Linked DNA regions of Mus musculus. The protein of the gene in region 4 purifies or fractionates together with the protein of the main gene of each other region. This does not show direct contact. Links are inferred from orthologs where the notes say so. Each region holds a gene or a part of one and is shown on either strand. Other genes may lie near its edges.

The links. Proteins that work in one complex are often made in the same cells at the same time.
Region 1: the proteins of Fbxl5 (region 4) and Ciao2b purify together in Homo sapiens (affinity purification with mass spectrometry; 3 studies listed by BioGRID and IntAct, counting the BioPlex papers as one, with this or other methods). This does not show direct contact. The link is inferred for Mus musculus from reciprocal best matches to the Homo sapiens genes FBXL5 and CIAO2B.
Region 2: the proteins of Fbxl5 (region 4) and Mms19 purify together in Homo sapiens (affinity purification with mass spectrometry; 4 studies listed by BioGRID and IntAct, counting the BioPlex papers as one, with this or other methods). This does not show direct contact. The link is inferred for Mus musculus from reciprocal best matches to the Homo sapiens genes FBXL5 and MMS19.
Region 3: the proteins of Fbxl5 (region 4) and Aco1 purify together in Homo sapiens (affinity purification with western blotting; 3 studies listed by BioGRID, with this or other methods). This does not show direct contact. The link is inferred for Mus musculus from reciprocal best matches to the Homo sapiens genes FBXL5 and ACO1.

What each region holds. Positions count from the first base shown.
Region 1 is NC_000074.6:104,639,300-104,643,247, reverse strand, and holds Ciao2b (cytosolic iron-sulfur assembly component 2B), read left to right. Parts: upstream 1-1,519; 5' UTR 1,520-1,557; coding exon 1,558-1,699; intron 1,700-1,857; coding exon 1,858-1,937; intron 1,938-2,154; coding exon 2,155-2,280; intron 2,281-2,682; coding exon 2,683-2,728; intron 2,729-3,161; coding exon 3,162-3,259; 3' UTR 3,260-3,409; downstream 3,410-3,948.
Region 2 is NC_000085.6:41,978,298-41,982,647, reverse strand, and holds the start of Mms19 (MMS19 nucleotide excision repair protein homolog), read left to right. Parts: upstream 1-1,511; 5' UTR 1,512-1,534; coding exon 1,535-1,649; intron 1,650-4,350. Other genes in the region: Ubtd1 (ubiquitin domain-containing protein 1), read right to left, coding at 640-709. UniProt on the Homo sapiens protein: Key component of the cytosolic iron-sulfur protein assembly (CIA) complex, a multiprotein complex that mediates the incorporation of iron-sulfur cluster into apoproteins specifically involved in DNA metabolism and genomic integrity.
Region 3 is NC_000070.6:40,141,765-40,146,103, reverse strand, and holds the start of Aco1 (cytoplasmic aconitate hydratase), read right to left. Parts: upstream 2,840-4,339; 5' UTR 2,563-2,839; intron 1-2,562. UniProt on the Homo sapiens protein: Bifunctional iron sensor that switches between 2 activities depending on iron availability. Iron deprivation, promotes its mRNA binding activity through which it regulates the expression of genes involved in iron uptake, sequestration and utilization.
Region 4 is NC_000071.6:43,758,150-43,761,710, forward strand, and holds part of Fbxl5 (F-box/LRR-repeat protein 5), read right to left. Parts: intron 2,707-3,561; coding exon 2,558-2,706; intron 1,677-2,557; coding exon 1,594-1,676; intron 796-1,593; coding exon 73-795; coding exon of another isoform or gene 48-72; exon of another isoform or gene 1-47.

The sequences.
Region 1 (3,948 bases), on a different chromosome or scaffold from region 4:
TCACTGAACTCAGACATATATAACATCACGAGGGAAATTATTGAGCATGTGAAGCAAGACAGGACACTGGCAAACTTGGTACCGAGTAATGAAGAGCAGCACAGATATATGGTGGAGGAAACACAGGATGACTCGTTGGATAAAGGCATTTACTGCAATGACTGAAGATGACCTGCGTTCTATCCCTGGAAACCATACACTAGAAGAGAGAACCCCTCCTGAAACTTGTCCTCTGACCTCCACTTAACACATTGTGGCATGTGCCCTCTTCTCAAATGTAGTTAAAATTTTAATGAATGTGAGAATCTTCCCGACAGTGCTGGAAATCCCAGTGGGGTTGAGATGGAAAAACTGCTGCAGCCTGACCCAGAGCTCAGAGGTCCCTTAAGTCCCCTTGGCCCCAGGAGAACTTACATTGCTGGATCAGAGGTCCCATCCTTTACACAGTTTAGGTGGCCCAGGGGTATAAACCACAGCATCCCTAGAGGCAGCTTGGCGAAGGGAACTAGCAGGAAGGCGTGGACACCCACATCAATACCACTCAAATGAAAGAGATTTCCCCATGTGACTGGTCATGATGGGACTGGAAATGTACAGATGGCATCAAAGTTGAGTCTGTTCTATCAGCGGGCGCCGCACTGTGGGTGTTGCTACCTCCTTGTGACCTTTAGGTCAGCCTTGTCAAAGTACTCTTTGTTTTCAAACACTGTTTTTACCCACTACAAGACCCCAGCTTATCCATCCAGGCTCACTGAGGGACCTCTGGACCTGCTGCCATCATTCAGTCCTGCGAGCAGTCAGCCATGGGCCACGTGTGCTGGTCCCAATGGCACAAGTCTGTCTTCCACCAACCCTGCCTCTCCTGAGTTACGAAAAAGACTGTGGGAATTATATGTGCAATTTCCCATTCTTTAGACAAGCTGGACATGACATCACCCATGCCAAGAATGATATTTCTGCCTGCTAAGGCATTCGTGGCCTCCATAGCCTGGCTGACAGCAAAGGAGACAGTCTGGTAGGGAGGGGTTATAGGATAAATTAAGTGCTGCCTTCTCAGGGCAGATCAGATTCAAGTGGCCTAGAGGTCACCACGGTCTACATTAGGATGCTCTGAGGTGAGAGTTTAGGATCGCGTATCTACTTAACAAGCATGTAACTAGTGCTGCCGATTCCTACTAGAGGAAACCAGCGTGTCATTAGATCTACGGTTCTACGATAGCGTGACAGCGAGCTGGAGCGTCCCAAGGCCCAATCACAAGGAGCCTTTAGTGCCCTTGTCAGACGGTGTTGGCTTCCTGCGATCCAGCTCCCAACAGGATCCCACGGCTAAGAACCGAAGGGACGCCCCGGCGAGAGCTACCAACATTTTTCCCGCTTTCGGAGTAGCCCGCACGACAAATACACCGCTTCTAGCAAACTACTCGCCGAATCCCTGGAGTGTGGCGTGTCCCTTGCACGACCCCGTAGCCACACCACGCCCTCTCCTCGTTCCCAGGAAGTGCGCGGAAGGAGCGGAAGTACACACCACCGGGGGATTGTGGGAACCGCGGTTCCGGGATGGTGGGCGGCGGCGGTAGCGGCGGCGGGCTCTTAGAGAACGCTAACCCCCTCATCTATGAGCGTTCCGGGGAGCGGCCAGTGACGGCGGGCGAGGAAGATGAGGAAGTGCCGGACAGCATCGACGCCCGGGAGATCTTCGATATCCGTCGCTGCAGGGCGCTGGCGGGACGGTGGGGGCTTGGGGTGTCGGCAAGAAGTGATGCGCAGCCCGCTGGTGGAGGGGTGTCCCGGTTAGGCGTTGCCTGCGGAGATTTTGAGTGGGCCAAAACTTAGAGTCCCTTTTCCTTCACTTGGCACATCTTATCCGCTCCATTAATGACCCGGAGCATCCACTGACACTGGAGGAATTGAACGTAGTAGAGCAAGTTCGGATTCAGGTGAGTAGTTTACTCGAGTAATCAAAAAGGTACCGTTGTACCTCAGAGGCTGGTGTTCTCCGTTCACAAGCCCCCAAGAGGATCTGTGGGAGGTGTGTTAATGTTTATGGAGCCGATAAAAAGTTGGGTGACTTGCCCAAATCGATAAACTAAAGAGTGTCTTTGGGCTAGGGGCCGCCGTGCGATCACTGCGATCTGATCTCCCTTGTCATCGCAGGTTAGCGACCCAGAGAGCACAGTAGCAGTGGCCTTCACACCCACCATCCCACACTGCAGCATGGCCACGCTTATTGGCCTCTCCATCAAAGTCAAGCTGCTGCGATCCCTTCCCCAGCGGTTCAAGGTCAGTTGGAGTCAAGCCCCCGAGGGTGAAACAAACTACTGGGGCGGGCGAGGGGACATCGGGCGGAGATCGGAAGGATCCGAACTCGCAGAGTTGAACCCCCAAGTTGATGTGACAAGAATATTGGGGGGAAAAAACTCCAGAAAATAGGAGTGTGGTGGAAAGGGCAGCTGGGAGCTGTGAATGGGCGTGATCGATCGAGGCACTGGAAGGCTTTTAAAGTCAATAGTCGCTGACTAGGTCCTAGGGTAAAAGTGGATTGACTGACTGCAGGTGGGTTTGGGGTGGCTTGGAAGAGCCAGAATCAAGAGGGGTGACTGGGAGTTCAGATGGTTGGGAGGTAGTGTCCAAAAGAAAAGGACAGGCGGGTAAATGCTCGGGCCCACATTGTCTTTCCTGCAGATGGATGTACACATTACACCCGGGACCCACGCCTCCGAGCATGCAGGTTAGTGTGGACTGCTGGGCCCCAAACTAGGTGAGGCTTCCCCTTTGCCACAGTCATCTGTGGGGGCAAGATTAGGACCAGGGGACTAAGTGAATAAAATGGCCATACTACAGCTTAGACCAAAGCTGGCCTGACTGAAATCTCCTGCTTCCCATGACCCACCCTCCTGTGGTCCTCAAGTACACAGGGACATTGGGTCGGGCTTCAGGAAACACTGGAGGGAGGCAGACATAAGCAGTCCCTGGTGGTGACGGGCATTCCAAATGATGAAGCTAGTTATGGGTACAGGTGATGCATATAGCCTGATCCAGGCTTGGAGTCCTGAGACTATCAGAAAAGAACTTTATTGGTAGAAATATAATGTATACTGAGGCTAGCAACCTGGCCCAAGTTTGCTTTAATCCTGTTTTTCCACCCTTCTTTTCCTACCCAGTGAACAAACAACTTGCAGATAAGGAGCGAGTGGCAGCTGCCCTGGAGAATACACACCTGCTTGAGGTTGTTAATCAGTGTTTATCCGCCCGCTCGTGAGCCTGGCTTTGGACCCCCAGCCTGCACTCAGGTTGTCCTGGCCTCAGCTCCACCAAGGGCTCATGGCTTTGTTTTCTTGAATCACTGACAAGGAGAAACTTAACACTTTTTATTTTGTAATAAACCCTTAATTTATATTCATTTCCCAGTATGCCTTAGCGTCTCTCATAGTGGACTCATTTTCGGTTGTAGTAGAGTGGGGTGGGGACCTATGAAGGGTGGGTCCATGAGGTGCCCTCATTGCTTCTGATAACTCCCAGTGGGGCTGGAAAAATGGCTCAACAGTTAAAAACACTTACTGCTCTTAAGATCTGGGTTAGGTTCCCAGCGCCCAAGTTACAACCATCTGTAACTTCAGTTCCAGAGGATCTTACATTCTCTTCTTGCCTCCAAAGGCACCAGGAACACATGTGATACACACATGTATAGGCAAATACTCATACATATAAAGTAAATCAGCAAGCTGTATATAGTGGTACAAACTTTTTAGTCCCAGCACTCAGGAGACTGAGGCAAGCACATCTATGATTTTGACAACAGCTTGGTCTACATAGAGAGTTCCAGGACAGCCAAGGCAGTTATAGGGAGACCCTGTCTCAAAAAATAATAATAATTTTTAAAAATTTGTTTAGCCTTTCCAATGTTTCAGATACCAAAGGTTGCAAATGATAAAAATTAAAATTTGAAGA
Region 2 (4,350 bases), on a different chromosome or scaffold from region 4:
GGGATCCCATTCCAAGAGCTGAGAACGCTCCTAACAAACACGAAGGCGACGCTCACCCCGCACCCCACCTTTCCTAGACTCCCAGACAGCCACCGAGGCTCCAAAAAGCCGTGTGGAGAGGTGGGAGGAAATAAAGATTTCTATTTTCCATGGTCCTGCACTGCTTTTTACAAGTCGGATTCCCGCAGACAACGACCTGCAGCCCGATAATGACACAGTGACTCGCTGGAATGAGCGACTGTGTTCGCCTCGATCGCTCCGACTTCTGGGGACGCAGGCTGCCCACGCCGCGCCCCGGCCGGCCGCCGGCCGACCCTGGCCGGGGCTGCCAGATCCGCGGCGCACTCGCTTGGCCCCCTCCGCCAGCCTCGTCGCGGTCTGGAAACATTTCCTGCCCCCGCCCCCATCCCCAGCTTCCCGGTGGGAGCGAGTTGGCCTCCCGGCCGGGTCAGCGCTCGCAGTTACCCCAACTCGCTTCCCAGACAGCCCGCGCCGGGGAGGGCCCCGTCTGGCTCCGAGAAGCCGTGGGGGAACCCAAGCGCCCGGCGCCGAGCGAGGTCGCTCGGGAACCCCAAGGTTCGGGCAAGGCAAGGGCCAACTGGCAGCGCGCCGGGACCCCGCTGCCTTTCCTGGCGTTACCTGCTCGCTTGCGGGGGTGTCCCGGAGCAGCCGGCCTCTCCCGGCGCTGTCTCCCCACGCAGTTGCCCATGCTGGCTTCTCAGCCGGTCCCCCATGCACCAGAGGCGGCGGTCGGCCGGCTGCTCCACGCTGCTGCCCCGAACCGCGGCGTCCCCGGGTCAACGACTCCCGCAGCCCGACATCGAGAGCTCCTGGATCTCCCCTGGGGAGCGCTCTGCCCGACGCCGGCTTCGCCACAAACTTTGCGGGCCAGCGGAGAGGGAGGTGGCCAGGCCAGGGGGGCCCGCGACAGTGCCCGGCCAGAGACCAGCCCGGCTGGAGGGGCGGAGGGAGGGGGCGGACACCGCCGCAGCTACTCCAGGATCACTCCGAGCTCCCAGCTGGGGCCGGCCCCCCGGAGCCTGTCACTCACCTGCCTAACCCCGCCCCGGCCCGGCCCCGCTCCCTTCCTCCCGCTTGGGGTGGCCGCGCCACGGTCGCCAGCCGCCCCAGGTGCGCATGTGACCGACGGCACCGCCCCTCGGGCCGGGTCTGGTTTTCTCATTGGCTTTTCCCAGGATGCGTACCGCCCCTCGGCCCCACCCAGCCAGGTGCCCGCCCTGTCGCCCGTCTCCCGGGGAGAGCGGCCGGGAATTATGCGCCCTCAACCGCCCCGGCTGCGTGCCCGGCAGTCACTTCCCCTCCCGGAGCCGCGCCCCGGCCCAGGCCCCGCCCTCTGGGGAGGGGCCGTTAGGTCCCTGAAGGGACTGCCTGGCCCAGAGCCGGCAGGCACGTGACCTGGAGGTGCCCCGCCCCTGAAGTCTGCGCCCAACTATTGGCCATGGAGGCGCGTGCGCGGAGAGACACATCTCGTAGCCACACCCACTTCCCCCTCCCACAATCTCTGGCTAGCGTCATGGCTGCCGCCACCGGTCTGGAGGAGGCAGTGGCGCCTATGGGCGCCCTGTGTGGCCTCGTGCAAGACTTCGTCATGGGTCAACAGGAGGGGCCCGCTGACCAGGTGGCTGCAGGTATGGCAAACAACGCCGCGAGGCTTCTGCAGGGGCCGGACCGCAGGGAGCGGCCTCAGCACCCGCGCGCGGCGGGAAGGGAGTGAAGGGAGAGGTGATTGTGATTGGTCCTCTGGCCGCTCTGCCCCCGCTGGGAGCGCTACTGCCCTAACAAGTTGGAGAGTCGCTTGCATCTTCCTTAAAGCTTTCTTTACATTCCGCATCTCGCTGTGGTCCATAGAGAATCATTACATTTCTCCGAGAGTAATAGACTTGTGCAAGGCACAGACGAGTCCGGAAGTGGAGCTGGGACTTGGACTCGGGTGTTCTGGTCCAAACCTGGTGCTTGCACCGCAGGACCGCGTTGTTTGCGGAGTGTTAGGTGAGAAGGTCTGGGTTCCAAGGGTTACGCTCCGGCCTCTTGCCTTCCTGGAAGTAGCGTGCGCTCCAGCTGTTTGAGTGGTTGTAATTGGATGGAGGAGGGGAGGAGCCAGTCTGGCTCTAGGTCGGTGGGCGTGTAGATGACTAGTGTCTTTAAAGATTCACTTATGTGTCTTAGTAGGCTTTAAAAAAAAGAATATATATATATATATAGTATGTGAGTACGCTGTCAGACACACCAGGAGAGGACATCGGATCCCATTATAGATGATTGTGAGCCATCATATGGTTGCTGGGAATTAAACTCAGGACCTCTTCAAGAGCAGTCTGTCCTCTTAATTGTTGAGCTATCTCTCCAGCCCCAAATAGGCTTTTTGATAAATTAGATTTATAACTTTTTAATGTCCCATTTTTTTATCCTTCTTCCCAGAGTTCCAATTTCAGGAATCTCTCAGTTCCGAGTTTATCCAGGATTTGAACAAATCCAGGGTGCCTCTTTAGAATTCTTTCTGAATGTTGAATGTTAGGCCTTCAGTGTCGGGTTTAAGAAATAGAATAAAAAATGGATATAGATGCGGGTTTTTAAAAATTATGTTTGGAAGTTTATGGGTGAAGAAGTTTCTTTAGCAAATTGAACAGATTAATTTTTAGAATATGTGAGAAATGAACTGCTAGAAATATATGTTGGTCCTTAGCAATAGTCCACATTCTCTGCCATTCTATTATTTCTGAGCACGTATTTTTTACCCAGCATGAAAAGAATTGAGGACAGAAATACAAATAAGATACTATCTATGGCCATCAAACTATTATAATTAGTGAGAGAAAGAACTGTGTTGTAAGAGGTAAATATATGGTTCCAGAGCATCAAGGGGCAAAAATGCCTGCTATTGGCTGGGCTTGGTAGTGCATTCCTTTAGTTCCAGGATTTGGCAGGGGGGTGGCAAGTTTGCTAGTGAGTTCTAGGCCAGCCTCAGCTACAGTGTGAGCCCCAATCTCAGAAAGAAAATAAAGCCCCTGGTACTTGCACTTAAGCTTATAACATTTTACAACTTAATCAAGTATAGTCTGTTATGGGTTATTATCAATGCCATTTCCCCCCAGATTTTACTATGGAGATTTCACAGCATTTAACAAAATCTAAAGAATTTTAATTTTTAGTTATTTATCTGTTTGTGTATTGTCTTTTGAGACAGGCTCTCTCTGTGTTGCCCTGGCTATCCTGAAACTCTGTAGACCAGGCTGGTCTTGGACTCAAAGATCTAAATCCCCCTCCCAAATGCTGGGATGACGGGCATGCACTACCCCTGCCCAACTTAAATTTTTTTTTAAAGATCATAGACTCACTACTTAGAGCCTATCACTAACATTTTTTTCTTTAATTTGAATTGTCACAAACCTACCCATTTAAACTGCAGAGATCAATACATTAATCTCTAACTTCTTTATCGAGCTCCTCATTGACTAGTGTTTGCTTTTGGTTTGTTTGGGGGGTAAACTTTAGATCCGGTGAACTATATATCAGGACCGTTGTTTTCACAGAAGCTTAGATATACTTAAACCCACCCCCATACCAAGATAGATGTTACTATATTAATGTTATCTGTAATTGTTCTTCCACATTTGTGCACTCTGGGAATAATAATTTTGGATTTTATGGATGCATAACACATCTTTAAAAGACAGCTTAAATAACTGCCTTCTTATTTTTTCATAAAATACCTTTTTTTGTTATGTCAAAAAAGGGAGCCTGAACTATCATCTTGTTTTAGTGTTTCTATTGCTATGACTAAACTCCATGACCAGAAAGCAAGTTGGGGAGGAAAGGGTTTATTTGGCTTGTACTCGGAGATCACAGTCAATCATTGGAGGAATTCAGGACAGGAACTCAAACCTGGAAGCAAGAGCTGATGCAGAGGCCATGGAGGGTGCTGCTTACTGGTTTGTTCCCTGTGGCTTGCTCAGCCTGCTTTCTTACGGGAGCCAGGACCACTAGCTCAGGGATGGTACCACCCAGAATGGGATGGGTCCTCCCTCATTGATCACTAATTGAGAAAATGCTTTACAGCTGGATCTCATGGAGGCATTTCCTCAACGGATGCTCCTTCCTCAGTGATGACTCTAGCTTGTGTCAGGTTGACACAAAACTAGCCAGTGCATGTATGGTTTAAAATCTACTCTGTAGTACCTGTGTAAGTGAACCCTATTGTAATTTATTCCTCTTAACAAAAGGAAGGTTGGTACAAAGGAATAGTAGCCAGTAAGGTTGAATGGGTTGATGGAGCCGGATTATATATAACCCTGAACTCCAGCGGTAAGGTCTGAATGGCTTGTTTTAGGT
Region 3 (4,339 bases), on a different chromosome or scaffold from region 4:
GATCAATATTAGTATATTTTAAATACAGCCTTCCCTGTCCCCATCTACCAAAAATTTGGAAGACTTGAATAAAACACCTCATACCTAATATCTTTGTTCAGGCAAAGGAGTCTGACTTTGCCAAAAAAAACAAAAAGAAAAGAAAGGAAGGAAGGAAGGAAGGAAAGAAGGAAGAAAGAAAGAAAGAAAGAAAGAAAGAAAGAAGGAAAGAGAGAAAAGAAAGAGAAAAGAAACCAAATTAAATGCACCTTGGCTCCAACAGCAGCAGTGTGCTGGTAAATGTTTAGCAATTTGTTCCCAGGTAGAAAAAAACTCATACATGGAGTGCTGGATGATTTCCATGTTGTAAATAAATATTCTCATTATGGTCCATTTCAAGCTACAGAAATGTAACACTGCTGAACACAGAGTTGAGAAGACACGTGCACAAACACTAGCATAAATCTCTCTCAGGAAACCATGGGTGTTTGGGACACCTACTAACCACAGTCTAGTTGGAAAGTCAGAGACACGAAAGTTCTGAGAGATGAAGTAACCTTCACAATGCGAGGCCAAGAACGGACACAGGTTGGGAGGGACTTTCCTATGCAGACTCTAGTGGTCGCATGAGGAGGTATCTGCTCCTAAAAGACAGGAGATTGGAGCAAACAAGACAAACAATGTTGTTTGTCGGGGAAAAGGTAATAAATACCATTTATTTTAATTGTCATCTTTACATGTAGGCCTCTGGTTTCCTTTGCATGTGCTTTTTTTGATGCACACCTTCCTAGCAGGTATTGCTTTCTTACATGACCGTGTTTCATGTACACATACAGGCAGGAAATGATCTCAACTGGACGGTACTTACCTATGCTCTTGACTGTAAATTCCAGACAGGCCCTTCACCTTCTAAAATCATTCATTTCCCAAGGTCCAGAAGAGTTGGAGCTGAGATAAACATCTACTCAAGGATGAATAAGAGAGGCTCCAGTATCAACAATGTGTATAACAAGAACACAAGGGCTCAGATCCCAGCCCCCTTCTCCCGACTGTGGGAGCAACAGCATGAGGACAATCATTTCTAATGTATTACTTAAAGTGCTGAAGCTGCTCAATCAGAACACAATAGCCTCTTTGGGTAGAGGATTAAGAAACTTGTTTGCTTTGAGGTATACATTTTTTGATAATATGTATATAACTTCTATCTCAAATTCCTGTAGACAGCATGAAACAAAGGAAAGACTCTAATGCAGGGTTCCATCTATCACACACAGACACAATGGGCAACTGCTTTCCAGTGGCAGAGGCAGGACCACACACAGAGCTCACCAGGAATGTGGAAGTGGCAGAATTCGGAGACTGGGACACCATACTTCAACAGACCCAAGGCTAGAAACCCCCAACAGAACTGAACACAGGGATAAGGAGGCAAAAACATGCCACCTGGTGTTTTAGACATGACCTCTCAACTGCTTGGTAATCTTACAGCAACCCCTACACATTTGGCATGGTCTAGTCACACCCACCTCCCTGAACTCACAGGTCTGGTGTGCTACATCAGGTTTACACACATCAACTCAGCAGGCACAGAAACAACCAAGGCACACATGAACATCACCCAAAGCCACCACCAACTGTGGGGATCTCGTATTCCGTTGGAAAGTGAGGTCCAGAGTGCTCCTGGGTATCAGAGGTTAACTCCTCCACGGTGCGGAATGGAAGAACCATAAATAAAGTGGCAAACCCAGTGAACTATGCCTCCTAAGCACTGGCTACTTCGGTGGTTCTAAAGTATGCTGCAGAGAAACACAGGCGCAGGTGTTTGGACGGTCAAAACCACTCTTTAAGCAATACAATGTTACATTTTCACCAATATACTTAAAAGTCTTCAGAAGCTACATGACCTGTCATACTGCAACAGGCTGAGTGTCTTCTAAGCAGAGATTTGCAGGAAGGTTAAAGAATGCCATTCTTAATAACAGTGTTTTGGAAACTACAGAATCGGTCTATCTGAATTAAGTATATTAAGTGTCTATACGCTGTATTTATACACTGCAAAAATCAATAGGTACAATCTATATAACAAAGGTTCTTTAGGCGCGCTGCCGGTCCTAAATGCAAAAGTTCGGCAACTTCTGCTGGGAGGCTGTCATGCGTGCTGCAGGGAGATCTGCGGTTCTAGTGCACTGGGCTGGCCAGAGTGGTACAGTCCCGTTCTCCTTGGGTTTCTCAATCAATCACCTTGGACTCTATGCCCTTCCACTGAGGGGGCTCTTACCCTCACCCCGCCTGCCTTCGCCCCGTGCTGGGGACTCCAATCTGCCGGGCACAATCGTTCCTTTCTATCCCGTGGGCTGGGCCTGGCACAATGACACCCCGGCGGTGCGGCCCTCACACCAAGGCGAGAACTCCCGGGGCGCCGAGTAGAGCCACTCCCAGTCCAGAGCGACGCAGGCTGGGGAGCGAGTAGAGAGGTCACCCCAGGAGCCAGCTCCACCGCCTCCCCGCAGCTCTCCCCGTGTCCTCGGGTCTGCACCCGTGGGAAAGGCCTGCACGGACGCCCCGGGGCCGCGTGGTACTCACCGCTCACAGTGCAGTTCCCGGAGCACACAGGCGGGTGCTAGCAATGTCCCAGGCCGACTCCGCGCTCCTCCCACTGAGCGGTCCTCCGGACGCTCCGGCAGCGAGGCGGGACCGGTGGAGAGCGGGCCGGAACCAGCTGCTGCGGGAGAGGGGCGGGGCCCGGGCCTCACTCCGCCCCCCGAGGGGCGGAGCCTGGGCACCTCCTCCCTCTAGAAGCTGCAAGCGATGGCTGAAGCTTGCAGTCTAGTCCGGGTGCGCCCTCCCTTCGGAACCTTCCGATCTTGGCAGATGGGCGGAGTCTAGGGCCTATTCCGCCCCAAGGCCCAGATCTGACTTGAGGTTGCGGCCAAGGGGCAGAGCTTGGGAACACCTCTTCTTTCCAGAGCCTGAAGGCAGACCATACCGAGGGACGAGTCCCAGGCCCCTACATGGCCAGGTTTAGGGGCTGGGCACCGTCCCACCCCTAGAACAAGAGACTCGTGGCCACGGACGGGGGCGGAGCCTAGGACCTGCTCCACCCCTCTGTACCTCCTAGGCCCGAAGGCCCGAAGCTGAAGGCTATTGATCTTCGTGGCTCCTCCCCATAGGCGGGAGAAACTGGGCCCCGAGGCTGCATCTAGCTTTGCTAGTGGCTCAGTCCCAGGAAGTGTAGAGCCGATTTCTAGGCTTTTCCTCTTTTGGAGCGTGGAGAAGGCTGACTGTCCCTCACGAGGGGCAGAGTGTGACATGTAACTGCCTGACTAACGTAGGGAGCCTTAGGATTTCTGTTGCTGCGATGAAACGCCATGACCAAAAAGCAAGCTGAGGAGAAAGGGGTTTATTTGGCTTACACTTCCAATTCACTGGAGGAAGTCAGGACAGGAACACAAGCAGGGCTAGAACCTGGAAGCAAGCACTGATGCAGAGGCCGTGGGGGTGATGCTTAATGCCTTGCTTCCATGCCTTGCTCAGCCTGCTTTATCATAGAACTCAGGACTACCAGCCTAGGTGAGACCACTCACCATGGGCTGGGCCCTCTCCCATTGAGAAAATGGTGAGAAAATGCCTTACAGCTGGATCTCATGGAGGCATTTTCTCAACTGAGACTCCTTCCTCTCTGATGACTAATTTGTGTCAAGTTGGCACACAAAACGCCACCTTTCTTTTAAATGCTGGGTGGTAAGTACGTTTTCTGAGTGCCTCTTCCAGTGTCCCCCACCTCCTCCACCTTGCCCTTCACTTCCTATTCCTACCCCAACTACTGTTTTGTTTTAGATTTCTTCCCGAGGGTTTAGTTGTTTGGGGTTTTTGGTTTGATTTTTGAGTCAGATACTCATGGGCCCCAGGCAGGCTTAGAGCTCATTGTTTGGTGGAACTCCCCAGACCTTGGACTCCCTACATCTACCTTTAAAGTGCCGGGACTGCAGGTTCTGTCCCACCACACCCAGCTCTTATAAAAGGCAGTTTCTCCGTTATTACTAGCTCAAAGCACAGGAAGTATACATCAGGAGCACACTTCAACATGTCTGTAGCTTACACAGAATGCAAACTTTCTATATATAAAACTTGGTTTTAGCCTACAGCAACCCATTAATTACAGCACATGCTGTCCACCGATCTAAAGTCTGAGCTGTGAGACTGAGTGGGGGTTCCGTCCATGCTTAGCAGTTTAGCCTCTCAAGTCAATGTGAATTTGGAAACATGATTGATTAGCTCTAGATGAAAGGATGTAAGGTTTTGCTGCCCAGATCATTTGGAAATTCAGTGTAGGCTTCTACATTGAGTTAACACGAACGAG
Region 4 (3,561 bases):
AACTTAGATCAGTAATGTAATATTTCATGTGCAAATACATCCATTTCCTAACAACTAGGGCTGATCACCCACCTGAGACCATGGTCTGTGATCTGGTAACATCCAGACAGACTGAGGAACAAAAGTACTCGTCCAGTCTCTTGGTCAGACTTTTCACTCCCAAAATAAATTAAGTCTTTCCCCCTGGGCAATGTAGTCCTTAATGCTTTTCTACACATTGCAGAAGTCGCTGGGAGTGTAGTCATAGTTCTTAAAGCTGTCCCTGTACAACAGAATGAATGACCACAATATGCAAAGGCTGGAGAAGCACAATGCTGCTGCCAACAGACACTAGTCCTTAATCCCACAATGTCCTTACTGTAACAACCAGATGAGGAACAACCAAAGTTGGAGGCTGTTTCCATCACACAGAGACTCTCAACATTTCTGTGTCTCCACTCTACAGCATCTTCAATATCAGCCAAATCTTCAGCATCTAGCATCCACACATAAGGAGAAGTCAAACTTTCAGAAGACACAGGTTCAGTCCAAGAGTGCTCGTTGTCTATTTCTTCACCAATGCCTTTGTCAGTTAAATTGTGCAAACAGGCATACTGCGTGGTGGATGGCATGGTAATGTCTTTACTTGTCCATGGAGTTGAAGCAGCCTTGCCTGCACTTTTCAGAAAGCCACTCTGATGAGATGTCAGAACTCCAAGAGCTCTAGAAATCTTCTCTAGAGCCATGTCTGTGATTTTTTCACATCCAGACAGATCAAGATGCCGAAGACTCTGGCAGCAACCGAGCCAAGACCAACTACAAGAGGGAAGAAGACTATTAAATTCCTGAAAAGCATTAAACTATACATACAGATAGATGGGTAAGAGCATTACTGTAAGTACAAAATCGATACTTTAACATTTCTGGAATTTCAATCATCAGGGAATATGTTAAGTGCTAAGGATAAGAAAAAAATACTAAGACGAGTAATTAAAGAAGGAAAAAAGAAAGCAGAAAAAAATGAATAGGAGAGATTTAGTTTCCTGTACACTAAGTAAGCAGTTAAAGGGGAGGCAGCACACACATGAAAGAATTGCTAAATATAATGAAGATACAGAAGAAACAAACTCTAGAAACAGGTAAAGACCCTGTCTCTCCCTTTGAAATAGGATCTATCAGAACTGTGAAGAAAGGAGAGCTAAAATAACAAGAAACCTAGCAATCTCCAAGGAAGAATCATTTGTCTGGCTTGAACAGACTGGTACTGAACCAAAAAACAATGAATTACGTTAAAGGAGCTCTGTGAAAAGGCACTTAAAATCTGGAATAAAACCTTGAGAACAGTAATACTGACCGAGACAACAGTTACAGAGCAAGCCTAGCAAGCTAGATAAGACATACAAATGGCAAGTATGATGTTCTGGATCGGCTGCCACATGTGAACAAGGGAAAACTTGGGAAGGTTCTATCAAGTTACCACCATACATGGCAGGGGTTTAGTAACAATACAGGGTAGGATTAGTAAACAGCAATTATGTAAACAAGAAAATAGACAATCTTTTGCTGGCTTTGTTTTATTTTATTTACTATATTTAGATATTTAAAATAATTAACCTGTCAAATGCAGAATCAGAAATGTCGGTCTGGGTAAGATCCAGATGTTCCAGGTTAGGACAAAGCTCTAAAATCTGCCTAACCTAAGAAGGAAAGGAAATCCACTGTGAGGACCTGTGGGAACTTCAGTTAGAAAAGCAACAATGATAAATATAACACCGTGGTTTTTTCCTAAGTCTACATGCATACTGAAAGAAAAAAAAAAAATCACTCCAACAATGCACTAAAATAGTTACACTCTGTGCTCAAATTCTGTTTTGGTGAGGTGTGTGTGGAGGCCTGAAGTTAAGCCAGTGTGTCTCCCTCCATCTAATTTTGAGCCACAATCTCTCGCTGAACTCTAAACCATAGGTTCTGCTAGTGTAACTGCACAGTAAGCACCAGGTATCTGCCTGTCTCTGCACCCATTTCTCCTGGTCCCAGCACTATGGTTACAAATACATGCCATTATACATATATCTACATTCTGGGGATCCAGGGTCTCACACTTGCACAAAAGGCACTTTACCAAATGAACTTTTACCTCTCCAATCCCTGGGCCCATATTTCTAGTAATCTTCTTAAAGTTTCTTAGAAATTAGACCCAGAAAAATCACCCTTTTAAAGGAATACTCAAGGAGATTATATGTAGGAAGTCATAATTTTATAAAACTAATTATCTCACTTGTGCATCTTCCTATGCCTTACATGTTATAATCAACTCTATAGAATTAAGACTCACCACGTAACATCTATAAAGCCAAGTAAACGCTTAGCTGCCTAGTTTTAGTTCCCTTATCTATAACACAGGCAAGATTTCTATGCTACATAGAATACCCTAAGAAATGAAATTATATGAATGCGAACAGTGTACTCCTATCCATGGGAAGACACTATTTTTTCCCTCTTAAACATTAATAAGTAAACTAAAGTTGTCTCACTGCTATTTTCCTTAATACTCGAGCTAGTGTTCATTTGTACATACCATTTTGCTGGAGACTGCAGAGCTGTACGCTAACACTAAAGTTTTTACAGAGGTACCAACATATGGCAGAACATTATGAATTAAGCCATGGAGTACACGTTTTTCCATTTGTGCAATGCTGATAGCAACCGATTCCTCTGCAGACTCTTCTGTAAAATGAATTCAAACATCTAAGAACTAGATATACCAATTTTAAGTATGCCACCAATAGGATGCATCAAAATATTAAATATGAAATACTCTATACTACCCTCACTTTTGTAAACAATTCACTTTCCAGCAACAAGAAAAAGTTCTGAATAGTCAAAGAACTGTAAAATTCATTCAAGAGAAGGAATAAATGATCTATAATGTTTTGGCTTTTTTTTAAAGTAACATAAGTTATTCTACCTAATTAAAAAGGACACACAGAGCTAGATATGAAACAACGCCATTAACCTAATCAGTACGAATCTTCAAGCAAAGACACCTCAGCTCATAAGAAGTTTAAACATAAGCATGGCTTCCTGCACTTGGTAACTTTTATAGAGCTTGGATGTCTATAGCAAGTAATACTTCTCTAACAACAAACAAAAAACTAAACAGGCTTAGCTTGCCAGCAGACTGTTTTTACAGGATGAGTAAAGACCTGAATTCAAGCCCGAAAATTAAAGAAAAGAAATTTTCCTACAATCCCAATTTAATAAAAAGCAAACACACTGTAAGTAAGCCTAAAATTTGTATTACTTTTCAGGATTCTACCTTTACTATACTTACCTAAACTCCTAACCTTAATGTACTGCACAATAAAGTAGCTTAATATAGTAAAGATTTGTTTAAAATAAAATTAAATATAGTGATTAAAAGAAAGCTATGTGAAAAGAGTAATTACTAACTATTTTATTGACTTTGTGTATTTCATAAATACCTCAAGTTCTTCCTTTACTTGGACAATATGTGTATCATAAAAATCACTTCAGAAAACATTTCTTATTCCACTATACTTTTATTCTTAATTCATTCTT